Linked DNA regions of Lepisosteus oculatus. The protein of the gene in region 1 interacts with the protein of each later gene in a pairwise test. Links are inferred from orthologs where the notes say so. Each region holds a gene or a part of one and is shown in the gene's direction. Other genes may lie near its edges.

What was found.
Region 2: the proteins of jakmip2 (region 1) and CAP-Gly domain-containing linker protein 4 interact in binary tests that used the Homo sapiens proteins (3 or more experiments, as listed by UniProt). The two-hybrid records come from large-scale screens. The link is inferred for Lepisosteus oculatus from reciprocal best matches to the Homo sapiens genes JAKMIP2 and CLIP4.

Annotation. Positions count from the first base shown.
Region 1 is NC_090706.1:26,812,325-26,819,225, reverse strand, and holds the start of jakmip2 (janus kinase and microtubule-interacting protein 2), read left to right. Parts: upstream 1-3,878; 5' UTR 3,879-4,012; intron 4,013-6,901.
Region 2 is NC_090697.1:29,363,835-29,371,140, reverse strand, and holds the start of CAP-Gly domain-containing linker protein 4, read left to right. Parts: upstream 1-4,265; 5' UTR 4,266-4,539; coding exon 4,540-4,588; intron 4,589-7,149; coding exon 7,150-7,296; intron 7,297-7,306.

The DNA of each region.
Region 1 (6,901 bases):
GACGAACCATGGAGAGGCAGGAGAGCAGAAAAAGACCCATATGCGTAGCGGCGGAACGGGGGATTAGCCCGGGCTCAGCAGTTCAGGAGTGGTATAGAAACCAATGCCCTCAGGCAGCGGACGTAGGGCGACCTGAATGCTAGGCGGGTCTCAGGACATCCGAATGTCAATGCTGAGCAAAGGTGAATGAGTGACCCCCAGAGAGAGAGACACCAGAAGGACAGCAAAGCACAGAAAACTAGGGACAGGATATAGGAGCGCCCTCTGGCTGCAGAGGGCGTGACATACCCCCACCTTCATGGGTGGCTCCTGACGCCCATACAAATAAATGAGCCAGGAGTCCACGGCTGAGAGCTGCCCCCTCCTCCATGGTATAAACCTTTATTGGGTAGAGGAAGGGGGCTCAGGTAGGGCTCCGGAGACTTAAAACAAAAAAGACAATTACACAAGCACAAACCACAACACAGATAAACCTGGGAGACCAGGGAAACAAACCACAAAAACAGATAGGAACCAAAACTTCCAAGACACACAGGACAGGGGGACCAGAGAGAAGGGGAAACCAGGAAGTGAAAAATCAAAATACCAAGCAAGAAACAATAATAAAAACACAAAAACCCGGGAAAAATACCACAGACTGGGCAATAGGCACATTCCCATTCTATCAATGATATCGGAGTGGACAACCCGAAGAAAGCCAGGCACACGGCCCGCTAACAGGCACGGATGACTAGAGTGATATCCAGCAATAAGAATAGAGGAATGGCAAAAAAGGCTCACCAGACTAATGCCAATATCGGCAGAAGACAACTCAAGGAAAGCCAGGCCACAGCCCGCTCACAGGCACGGATGTCAGGAAGGTGATATCCAGCAATTAGAATGGGAGAGGAAAAAAGGCTCACCACCCTATCGCTGATATCGTTGTGGACAACCCGTGGAAAGCCAGGCACACGGCCCGCTCACAGGCATTGATGACTGGAGTGATATCCAGCAATAATAATAATAATTGCTTACACTTATATAGCGCTTTTTCTGGACACTCCACTCAAAGCGCTTTACAGGTAATGGGGACTCCCCTCCACCACCATCAATGTGCAGCATCCACCTGGATGATGCGACAGCACCCATAGTGCGCCAGAACGCTCACCACACATCAGCTATCAGTGGGGAGGAGAGCAGAGTAATGAAGCCAATTCACAGAGGGGGATTGTTAGGAGGCCATGATTGATAAAGGCCGATGGGGAAATCTGGCCAGGATGCCGGGGTTACACCCCTACTCTTTTCGAGAAACACCCTGGGATTTTTAATGACCACAGAGAGTCAGGACCTCGGTTTTACGTCTCATCCGAAGGACGGCGCCTGTTTACAGTATAGTGTCCCCATCACTACACTGGGGCATTAGGACCCACATGAGCCGCAGGGTGAGCGCCCCCTGCTGGTCCCACTAACGCCTCTTCCAGCAGCAACCTTAGTTTTTCCCAGGAGGTCTCCCATCCAGGTACTCACACCTGCTTAGCTTCAGTGGGTTGCCAGTTGTGAGTTGCAGGGTGATATGGCTGCTGGCATATGAGGATAGGAGGGCCAGCTCAACATTCCATCACGGATGCCGGAATGACAACCCGAGGAAAGCCAGGCCACAGCCCGCTCACAGGCACAGGAGTCGGAAAAAGCATCCCGTGACTAGAATAGGAGAGCTGAGAGGAAAAATATGCAAGAGAAATAAAAGCGCCACTTGTGGGGTAAGTAGGAGGCTCAGCACTCTGTTACGGATGTCGGAAGGGACGAACCGTGGAGAGGCAGGAGAGCAGAAAAAGACCCATATGCTCAGCAGTTCAGGAGTCATATAGAAACCAATGCCCTCAGGCCATGGACTGGAGCGACCTGGTGCTAGGCGAGTCTCAGGACATCTGAACCCCAATGCTGAGCGAGGAGCAAGGCAGAAGAGCGCCCTCTAGGTGTACTGGGCGTGACACTGTCAAAAGGCTGAAGCTGAACCTTAAGTGGACGTTGCAACAAGACAATGACCCAAAACACTCAAGCAAATCCACAAAGGAATGGCTCAAAAAGAAGAAAGGGAGGGTTATGGAATGGCCAGGTCAAAGCCCAGATCTTAACCCCATAGAAATGCTGTGAAGGGACTTGAAGCGGGCAGTACATGCAAGAAAGTCCTCAAACATCACACAGTTAAAGGAGTTTATAAGGAGGAGTGGGCAAAAATGTCTCCAAGTCGATGTAGGAGACTGATAGACAATTACAAGAAATACCTACAAGAAGTGATTTCTTCCAAAGGGGGCAACACCAGCTATTGAAGCTAGGGGGTGTACTTATTTTTTCCCACAGCAGACAATTGCATTTCTGACTTTTTTTCTGTTGAATAAATGATTGAAAATATTCATATTCATTGTTATTTGTTATATTAGATCACCTTTATCTATCAGTATTGTTGAAATGAAGATCAAATATCCATACATGCAAATATTTGAAAATCACACATTTTCATGGGGCATACTTACTTTTTCACAGCACTGTAACCTCTGGGTGCTCTGGTTTCCTCCCACAGCCCAACAACATACAGTTATGTTAATTGGTTTCTGGGAAAAATTGGCCCTAGGTGTGAGTGTGTCTATATCTGTGTTTGTGTCTGTGTGTGCCCCACAATGGACAGGCGCCCCATCCAGGGTGTATCTTGCCTTGCATCCCTTGCTTGCCAGGATAGGGTCTAGCTCCCCTGTAAATCTGAATTGGAAGAAGCGTTTAGAAAATGGATGGATAACATTAGAACACAAGCGATTTCATAAAACTTTAAAGTAAGCATATCCTTAAAAAGAGCGCTGGAAGGGACTGTGGGCCCTGTACAGGGACTTAGGAGGAAATCCCTGCTCCTTGAGCTCCTGCAGAGGACTGGACAACCGCAGTTTCAGAGCAGGACAAGGACAACTGCAAGTGGTAGAGTTTGGAGGGCCTCTTTCACTGTGCGAATCCAGCCCCAGCATCCACTTGCTGTGATTGATAAAGGACAAACACCCTTTTTAAGAACTTTTGTATTATATTAGAATTGGATAGAGTAAGAGCGCCCTCTGGCCGCAGAGGGCGTGACACCACCTCAGACTCTCCCTGTCTGACTGGCTGACCGCTACAATATTTTAACAGCTACAATATTTACGATTTGATTTTTGCTTGTACAAAACCTGGCACTGTCACCAGATAAATACTGGTGATCTTAAAATCAAAACAGCCTAAAGAGAGACCGATAAACCACTCGGATTACTATGGAAACCTTCGTTGTTGAGATGTTAGAAAGGAACAGTGCGCCGCAGGAGAGAAGGAGCCGGTTCCTCAGTTACTGGTGCCCTGGCTTGTGTTTTACTGTATGTGCGGTACTCCCACTCCCAGGCGCTGCTCCACCTTCACCACCCCCGTTGGCGCTCTGTGTCCACCTCACTGTGCTTTACCTTTTTGCTTCACAATGCTTAAATGTTAATAAGGCTAGTTTGAAAAAATCTCTTAATATGTTCATTTATTTAAAAGAAAACGGCGAAATAAATACTTAAGTGTCGACAGTGCTGTGACTGAAACGTTTAACCAGGAGCTGTAAAAGGGATTCTCCTCTACATACTGTGTATTGTACAGTACTATGAGCTACAAAGTCGTGCGGCTTAATATTATTTCCGATCGTACCTTCTGTGAGCGTCTGCTCGTTTCCCGTTGTGCGGTCTGTGACAGTGGTGTGGACTCCACGAGAGGGGAAAGTGAAAAGAGTGGAGAAAGTAAAACGGATAAAAAAAAAACAAGAAGAGGGATAAAAAAGGAGACTGCAGTTTTCTTGGCAAATTCAATGAGCTCATTCTGACAGACAGGAGGAGGGCGGAGTTTTTTTTACAGCATCATCGTCCTCATCGCGCTGTGGTACAGCTGCTGCTGATGATGTGCAGGGGGAAAGGAGAAAAATCAAAGCCATGGGTAGAGCTTTAAGGATTCTAGGCCTTAATTCATTCTGGAGGTTAATAAAACGGTAAGAATTGTATCGTTTTCTAGTTATTTGTTTACACCCGCATCTGACGGTTTGAATCAGCGTTACATCAGTTCAGAATTAAAACAGGGATGTGATGCTCTGTACAGTGGAAATGGAGAGGTATTTACAGCCGGCGTCGTGTCATAATAGGATAGAGGATTTTTTTCCCACCCGATTCATTTGTGTTGTCATGTATTAGCGAGTAACGGTAATCTTTTGTTTTGTTTTTCCTAATTCCGGGCACTGGTGCTTTGTTTTTCGTTTCATGCACTAAGAAAGAATACAGTATTCGATCGTCATGACACAGACGTGTGTTTGGTTTAAGCGTTCATGTGGCTAGGCTTGGCCTGTGCAGTAGGCTGAGATCAGCCTTTGGGTAACGACAAGTGCATCTTTGGTAGTCATTTCTGATGCTGGTTTTAAAGTGAAATAGTACTACACAGGCCATTTAAAAGTGGGAACAGTATTTATTATTAAATAGTGAGTTCCACATGCTCTTAGGGTAGGCAGCTACCTAATTTAATTTGAATTGTCGAGTACCGGTATTTCATTGTTTATGTTTGAGGCTTTCCTCCCAGTTGTGCAAAGGTACTGTAATAGGGGTTGATGAAGCGAATATATGGAGTCAATTCTTCCATCCTCCTAATTACAGTGGGGCTTCTCTTGTGCCAATTTATGCAACCATATATATTTCACTAAGAATTGTGATAAGGCTCATTTATTTAGGCACATTGTCGGTAACAATTCAGTAGACTGGAGATATAAAGTTTCAGTAAATGTCACCTATTCTACAATGGCTGTGTGCAGTTTGTTTGGATGCTTTACTTTCTTCTCCAGTCCAGATTTATGTCGATTCTGACTTTTGCGATCTATTTGTTAGATACTATTGTTAGGATCATTCTAAAATTTGATATACAGTATGAAAGCAAATGGAAATAGAGGACATTCAAGCAAATGGTATTGTAATATAAGACATGGTAGAAACTATGAAGTGTTTAGTGTTATGGTATTTCTAGTGTAATTTTAGAACAGGCCATTAAAGTCGCCCCATTTTTATTTACTTTGGTGCAGATTCATGATCTTTTTCCCTGACACACTTTGTGTTGAATTCTCCAAAAGCAGTTGCTTCTTTCTTAGCTAAGTAATAACTTTAACTTTGCTATTTGTTAATTTTACATTCAACAGCAGTATACCATGCAAATACACATCATATGGATGCCAGTGTTAGAAATATAAAGATGGAAGTTTGTCTTTAACCAATAATAAAAAAAAATGTGAGTTTCAGGTGTCAGTTCATCTGTGGTCAGCCACACTGGCTCTGTGAGACCATCTTGATATCCTGCTGTCACATTTGCTGTCATTTACTTTATTGTATGTGCTTCAGTTTCTTTTATATTCATGTTAATATTGCCCTATATTCCTTACCTTTGAGAAACCAGTCCAGCTTCACACAGCTGTTTGTTCCTTTTTAGAATCCACGCTGTGTGTTAGATGACCAGGCTTGGGCATGCCTGGTGCTTGAGGGCCAGTGTGTCTGCAAGCTTTATAGGTCTCTTCACAACACCAACACATGAAGAGCTGACAGAAACTGTTCCCATTAAGCCAACAATGAGCTGATATACAGTAGGTTATGATCTGAAATGCAGACTTTAAAACTTACTGGCCTCCCAAGATTAGGTTCACCCATCCCTCAGCAGCTATAGTGGAGAGCCAAGCTGAGAGAGTGAAACTCATTTCTTTTGCTACTCCATTTGGATATGAAGGAGAACCTTAAGTGACATGCTTCACTCTGGCCACAGTGTTAGGAACCCTCATGAGTACACTATTTCAGCTGAAGGTTTTAGGAGCACAAGACAAAATGCCCTCACCTTCCCCGATAAGAACAATCCCTGGCTCTTAATCTACTTGTAACTGAAGTGACAACACAACTGGAAATCACATGGAAGTATACATAAAACTGCAAACAGAACTTTTATACCCAAAGGGTTTTAGGAGTGTGGAAAAATCTACCCAGCCATGCTGTCAAAGCCAGTATTCCTGGCTTGTTTTAAGAAATAACTGGAAGAGATCCGAAGTGCCAAATGAGTTAGATGGGACGAATGGCCACCTCCTCTCAAGCACACATGACAATCTAATGTTTGTTTTTAAGTTATGTTTTTAAGTTATTTTATGTCATTAGATGAGGGAGAAAATAAATTTCAGTCCCACACAGAATGATCACCATCAGCTGAGGTTGTGATGCTGGACAAGTGGCATGGGATTGGACTGCCAATATCTGTAAACCAAGAGGGATATATGTCTCGTTCTGATGCTATTGCTCTTGCAGTACAATATATTGTATCGTGGTGGAAGATTCTAATACTTTTGCCAGAAGGTGTATTAGAATGAATAATTTGTAGGCATAATAGATGGCAAAATGGTGTCAACATTATTTTTTAGAGTAAAAATTTGTTGAATCTACTTATTCATTTGCCTTTTAGTTTTATTGTATGTGCATTTCATTTACTGTGCATTGAGTAAACAGATAGAATAAGCTTCGTACTCATAGTCTAATTAATCCACTGTGTATATGGCTGTGAATGTGTTACCAGTACATAAATCTAGTAGTAATAGTTGAAGCACTCAAAGCTACTCATGACAAAAGAATATTAAATAAATTAGGTACAGCATTACCTAGCAAAGGCCACACTCTGATCTTATCCAGTCTAGGAGACACAGTGCCATATAAAACCACCCACTCACTCTAAAGCCGAATATTAATCATCTTGCAGCAGTCACAGTAACATTTTAAGGAGCGTAATGAGAATTACAGAATTCATATTGCTCAACGCATCATGGTTTTAGTTTAAAATGATGGAGCCAAATTTTAGTAATGACAGGAGTAAATCT
Region 2 (7,306 bases), on another chromosome or scaffold:
GTTTTAAGGAGAAATTGTCGGGAAATACATGTACACGTAAGAAGAACAAAATATATTTAACAAAGGTTGAAATGCATCATAAAAATGCATAATTGAAAATAATCTTAATGCCAGTCTTGTGCAGAGGGGGTGATTGGTTTGTGACTGGACCGGCCCGATCTCTCGCAGGGCACAGCTGTTGTGAGATACTCTCCCTGTGTGTCTGCGTGTATGCCTGAGTTAGTGTGTCGCTCTGTGTCTGTGAGTCTGTGTCCTTGTGTTTATTTGTCGATCTGTGTGTGTGGGTTTCTTTATTTGGCTGCCCATGTGTGCCGACGGTCACATTCGTGTGTGTTCTGGGTGTGTACTAGTGCATTTGTGTCCCTGGGTGTGTCCAAGTGTGTGTGGATTTTTGTGTCCCCAGAGTTGCTGCTTGTTTGCATGTGTGTCCCTCTGTCTCTCTCTCGGGAGCAGGCAGTGTCTCTGAGCTGCTGTTCTCCTGCACGAGGCTCTGCGCAGCTCGACTGCTCTGGCAGTGTCTCTGAGCTGCTGTTCTCCTGCACGAGGCTCTGCGCAGCTCGACTGCTCTGGCAGTGTCTCTGAGCTGCTGGTCTCCTGCACGAGGTTCTGCGCAGCTGGACTGCACTGACAGTGTGTCGCTGAGCTGCTGTTTTCCTGCACGAGGCTCTGCGCAGCTGGACTGCTCTGACAGTCTCTCTGAGCTGCTGTTCTCCTGCACGAGGCTCTGCGCAGCTGGACTGCTCTTACAGTGTGTCTCTGAGCTGCTGTTCTCCTGCACGAGGCTCTGCGCAGCTGGACTGCTCTGGCAGTGTCTCTCTGAGCTGCTGTTTTCCTGCACGAGGCTCTGCGCAGCTGGACTGCTCTGGCAGTGTGTCTCTGAGCTGCTGTTCTCCTGCACGAGGCTCTGCGCAGCTCGACTGCTCTGGCAGTGTCTCTGAGCTGCTGGTCTCCTGCACGAGGTTCTGCGCAGCTGGACTGCACTGACAGTGTGTCGCTGAGCTGCTGTTCTCCTGCACGAGGCTCTGCGCAGCTGGACTGCTCTGACAGTCTCTCTGAGCTGCTGTTCTCCTGCACGAGGCTCTGCGCAGCTGGACTGCTCTGGCAGTGTGTCTCTGAGCTGCTGTTCTCCTGCACGAGGCTCTGCGCAGCTGGACTGCTCTGGCAGTGTGTCTCTGAGCTGCTGTTCTCCTGCACGAGGCTCTGCGCAGCTGGCCTGCTCTGACAGTCTCTCTCTGAGCTGCCGTTCTCCTGCACGAGGCTCTGCGCAGCTGGACTGCTCTGACAGGGTGTCTCTGAGCTGCTGTTCTCCTGCACGAGGCTCTGCGCAGCTGGACTGCTCTGACAGTGTCTCTGAGCTGCTATTCTCCTGCACGAGGCTCTGCGCAGCTGGACTGCTCTGACAGGGTGTCTCTGAGCTGCTATTCTCCTGCACGAGGCTCTGCGCAGCTGGACTGTTCCAGTGTTGCAGACAGCACTCGATTTGGTTACAAAGTAAACCTGACTGTCCTGATGGGCGTCCTGTTTTATCCTTGGCGTGTGGCTGTGGAGGAGATCAGGCGGCTGTGAAGGGCTCTCCTGCCGCAGGGTCACGCGATGCTGAGGCACCTTCACAAGAAAAGTAAGCTGTCCCCGGTGTGGAGCACAGGCGTGTGGCTGGGGCGTTCTCACCAGGAGCCGGGCACGTCGCTCACTCTGGCGCTCTGCCTGAATTACTCCATGTGTTTGGCACGGGGCCTGTGTCGCGGACAGGAGGACTTGAGCGGATGTGCTCGTCTCTGTCAGTCTCGGGTCAGGCAGGGGGAGGGGTTGAGGGTCCGGTCCGGTCCGGGCTGGGTATGGAGGTGTTGGGGTTCCTCCAGAAGTGCCCCCAGGGCTGGGCTTTCATTGTAATTGTTCATTGTGCTGGTGACAGCGATCCTGTCTGACTGGTTTTGAATCTGTTTGTTGTTGTGTATTGTGGGTTTGGATTTTCCTGTTTGCTTTCTGAAGATCGTGTGCTGTAGTAAAGGAGAACGATGATGTTATGTGGTTAAGAGCTTAGATGATGGAAAACTGTGGCCTGTAAGGAGAGGTCCTGTACGGCCCTGAGCTACCAGTCACAGCACAGGTGAGATGTTCCTGCTTATAGCCTGTGTCCTGGGCACTGTGCCTCCTGTATATTGATCTCCTGTGTGTGTAGAGAGTGGTGCCTGTGTCCTGGGCACTGTGCCTCCTGTATATTGATCTCCTGTGTGTGTAGAGAGTGGTGCCTGTGTCCTGGGCACTGTGCCTCCTGTATATTGATCTCCTGTGTGTGTAGAGAGTGGTGCCTGTGTCCTGGGCACTGTGCCGCCTGTATATTGATCTCCAGTGTGTGTAGAGAGTGGTGCCTGTGTCCTGGGGACTGTGCTGCCTGTATATTGATCTCCTGTGTGTGTAAGGAGTGGTGCCTGTGTCCTGGGGACTGTGCCGCCTGTATATTGATCTCCTGTGTGTGTAAGGAGTGGTGCCTGTGTCCTGGGGACTGTGCCGCCTGTATATTGATCTCCTGTGTGTGTAAGGAGTGGTGCCTGTGTCCTGGGCACTGTGCTTCCTGTATATTGATCTCCAGTGTGTGTAGAGAGTGGTGCCTGTGTCCTGGGCACTGTGCCGCCTGTATATTGATCTCCTGTGTGTGTAAGGAGTGGTGCCTGTGTCCTGGGCACTGTGCCGCCTGTATATTGATCTCCTGTGTGTGTAAGGAGTGGTGCCTGTGTCCTGGGCACTGTGCCGCCTGTATATTGATCTCCAGTGTGTGTAGAGAGTGGTGCCTGTGTCCTGGGCACTGTGCCGCCTGTCTATTGATCTCCAGTGTGTGTAGAGAGTGGTGCCTGTGTCCTGGGCACTGTGCCGCCTGTCTATTGATCTCCTGTGTGTGTAGAGAGTGGTGCCTGTGTCCTGGGCACTGTGCCGCCTGTATATTGATCTCCAGTGTGTGTAGAGAGTGGTGCCTGTGTCCTGGGGACTGTGCTGCCTGTATATTGATCTCCTGTGTGTGTAAGGAGTGGTGCCTGTGTCCTGGGGACTGTGCCGCCTGTATATTGATCTCCTGTGTGTGTAAGGAGTGGTGCCTGTGTCCTGGGGACTGTGCCGCCTGTATATTGATCTCCTGTGTGTGTAAGGAGTGGTGCCTGTGTCCTGGGCACTGTGCTTCCTGTATATTGATCTCCAGTGTGTGTAGAGAGTGGTGCCTGTGTCCTGGGCACTGTGCCGCCTGTATATTGATCTCCTGTGTGTGTAAGGAGTGGTGCCTGTGTCCTGGGCACTGTGCCGCCTGTATATTGATCTCCTGTGTGTGTAAGGAGTGGTGCCTGTGTCCTGGGCACTGTGCCGCCTGTATATTGATCTCCAGTGTGTGTAGAGAGTGGTGCCTGTGTCCTGGGCACTGTGCCGCCTGTCTATTGATCTCCAGTGTGTGTAGAGAGTGGTGCCTGTGTCCTGGGCACTGTGCCGCCTGTCTATTGATCTCCTGTGTGTGTAGAGAGTGGTGCCTGTGTCCTGGGCACTGTGCCGCCTGTCTATTGATCTCCTGTGTGTGTAGAGAGTGGTGCCTGTGTCCTGGGCACTGTGCCGCCTGTCTATTGATCTCCTGTGTGTGTAAGGAGTGGTGCCTGTGTCCTGGGCACTGTGCCGCCTGTATATTGATCTCCAGTGTGTGTAGAGAGTGGTGCCTGTGTCCTGGGCACTGTGCCGCCTGTATATTGATCTCCTGTGTGTGTGTAGAGAGTGGTGCCTGTGTCCTGGGCACTGTGCCTCCTGTATATCGATCTCCTGTGTGTGTAAGGAGTGGTGCCTGTGTCCTGGGCACTGTGCTGCCTGTATATTGATCTCCTGTGTGTGTAGAGAGTGGTGCCTGTGTCCTGGGCACTGTGCCTCCTGTATATCGATCTCCTGTGTGTGTAAGGAGTGGTGCCTGTGTCCTGGGCACTGTGCCTCCTGTATATCGATCTCCTGTGTGTGTAAGGAGTGGTGCCTGTGTCCGGGGCACTGTGCCGCCTGTATATTGATCTCCAGTGTGTGTAGAGAGTGGTGCCTGTGTCCTGGGCACTGTGCCGCCTGTATATTGATCTCCAGTGTGTGTAGAGAGTGGTGCCTGTGTCCTGGGCACTGTGCCGCCTGTCTATTGATCTCCAGTGTGTGTGGAGAGTGGTGCCTGTGTCCTGGGCACTGTAAAATGAGTGTATTTTTAGCTCGGCTCACATGCCTGACCTTTTGCTAGAGATGGCAGGAGCTAGTGTCTTGCACACTACAGTCCGGACACTGCCCCCCCTGTACGAGCAGCGAGCGTGCCCCCCGCCTCAGGGGCTCAGTGCCAGTGCTCTGCGTCTGTGGCCAGGCCTGTGCGTGTGCTGTGGTGCACAGACGTGTAGATTGACAGGAGAATGTGACGAGGGAGTGGGACGGCCGGCGCAGGCTGCCTGAGCTGTAAATAGCCAGCCCGCTGGCTGGGGATCACAGTGGAGCAGGAGAGAGAGGAGGTGCTGTCCCGTTTTCCGCCTCTCCCTGTTCTGGTCACTTGGCATGGGGGACCCAGCGGCCACTCCTGAACTCTCCCCGGGCGACGGTGACCGTGAGTGAGACTCCCGCTTGTCTCTGCCTGTGTCTGTTGCCCCTCACCCTGCCTCCTCCCCCTGTCCTCTCTCTGACCCGCTCGTCCTGCCCGGTGCTGTTGTCTGCTCTCTGCTGCCGGGACGCTCTCTTCTCTGGGCGGTGCTTTACCCGTGTCATTGTGGGATAGCTGTCGGCGCCTCGCTGTGGTGTTGCTCCCGGGGCAGCCTGGCAGAGGTGTGTGTCGAGCCCTGCTCGTGTCAGACGGAGACCAAGGCCTCCTGAGGCTCCCGAAGTTCCCCACAGTGCTCTGGGGGATCCGGGGTGCTGGGAGGTGCCCAGATTGGTCTGCTCACAAAACCCCGTTTCGCCTGGTGGCTGGCCTTGCCCCGCCAGGTAAATAAGCACTGTGCGGTTATTGCGCTGAGGGGGGCCCGACTCTGGGGGCGCTCTGCCCGTCTTAAGCCCTGAGCGTCCTGCCCTGCCGGTCGCGGGCCGGTGACTGTAATATATTCAATTCAATTCAAGGTGCTTTATTAGCATGACCAATGGGTACAATCAGTGTTGCCAAAGCAAATAAAATAAAATTAACATGGAACAAGACAAAAAATAGAAGTAAAATAAAATATATCTGCGTCTGTGGAGTGTGTGTGCTGCAGGATTTGTGTATCTTTGTGCTGGTCTCTGACAGTGAAGTGCTTTACGATGGGGGCTGTCCTCCCCCCCCCTCCTCCTCCTCTCTCTCGTCCTTCTCCTGCACCCTCCCCTCTCGCAGGCCAGGTGACCGCGCAGCTGTTCGCAGACTGTGGAAGAACAGGAGGAGCGGCGGGACTCTGGGATCAAGACAGCTCTGTCTGCTGATCCGTCAGCTAATATTGACATAACCGGAACGATAGAGAAGCGGAGCCCTGTGTTAAACTTCCTCTCCCTCGCTCTCTCATTCCTTCTCTCGGGCTCAGAGAGCTGTACTGGCATGACCTGGACTGTGTTCCCCCCGGTCGTCCCCTCCTGGCGTGGGGCCCCGAGCGTCCCGCCGGTCGCTCTGCGAGGACTCCAGTTTGTCCTGCTTCGTGTGCTGCAGGAACAGGGCGCATCCCTCCTGAGTGAGGGGGCCGGGACTGCTGCTGCTGCTGCCCGGGAGCCCTGTCATGATCACGTCGCTCTCATGTCAAGAGGGGAGCTGCCCTGCCCTGGCCTGGCCTGGCCTGCTGGCACTGCCTCGGAGTTGTGGGAAGCGCAGGGCTCAAGGCTGGGTGTTGTGTCAGGGGTCCCGTGTTGAGTTAGGGGTGATGTTGTCCAGTGACTGCGAGCCACGCTGGTGTTCGCTTTGAGATGGGAGGTGCGCCCCCTGCTGTTGGCGTGTGGAGTATGGATGTCAGGAGCCCCGTTGCACCCCAAGATTTAAACCATCGCTCGCGTTACGATGTTTATATTGTTACAAAACTGGTGAAAATCAGGAATTGACCGAGCGGTGAAATAATTATTTATAATCCCCGACTTGTAAGTGATTTCTGTATGCGAGCGGCCGGTACAACCAGAGGCACGTGAATTCTTCCATCTCTGACACAGCTTTGTCGAGGAGTAATAATCCAGAGACACTTGGTTTAAACAAATATTTATTGCAATAACCTACACGAGACACAAAACATACAACACGCCAAGTTACATTCTATTGTTACGGGTGGGGCTGGACAGATATTTTCAAACAATGACACAACACACAACAGAACATGTTGCTTTAAACACATTCTTTACAGACAAGGCGTTTCAGAGGCCAAACATTCTGGTCACCCAGAAAACCCCAGACCGCTACTAAGCACTAAGCACCTGTCGAGGCCACACAAGAGATGAGCTGCCTTCTAACTAAATACAGAGCAACCTGCGGTTAAACCTATCTCTCTCTGTGGATGCCCCAAAATAAATAGGAGCCTATATCCATATCCATAAAATGCCCCCTTATCAGGAAAGATGTTTCTAACTGAGGTATCTTTTACCCAGGAAACCCAAGTTCCCTAAAAAATACAGAATAGCACGTTCTAACAGGGTTCAAATACTTCGCTCCAGTCAGGTTTGATTTGGATGATCATGAAGTAGGGGCTCTCGCCTGGCGCAAGCCTCAAGTTCCAGCTCCTCTCTCTTCTCTCTGCTCCCCTTGTTTCTCCTCTTCCCCCTGTTCTTCTCTCTCCTCCTGTGCTCTTAAGGTGAACAGATACTGTGTCTTTCTGCCCTGCTCCTTTGCGATCATTAATCCACAACTTGCCTAGGAATACCAAGATCACCTTTACTATTGTTTCTGCTCAAGGGACCCCCAGTCGTCGGCAAACATCCTCTCTCCTTTGGAGTTAGATGTGTTTACTCTTCCCAATGTCTAAAACCTTATCTAAAATCTGAGAGAGACTTCTCAAGTCACCCAAAGCTGTAACGGTATATAACCTGTCTGAGCGTCCCAGTGCGTCTGTGTGTCCCCCAGTGTGGTTCAGTGAGTCCCCAGTGGGATAGTGTATACCCCAACGTGTCCCAGTGTCCCCCCCCAGTGGGTACAGTGTCCTCAAGTGAGGTTCAGTGTCCCCGTGTCCCTCTCAGGTGCTGTGAGGAAGATGACAAGGGAAGATGTCCGGGATCCGTCGTCGGAGGGAGACTCTGCCCTGGACAGACTCAGCAGCTCGCCCCCTGGCACAGACAGGCCCACTGTTCACCAGGTGGCATCCGCACCCATGCCCTCGGACTGCGGTGAGTAGCA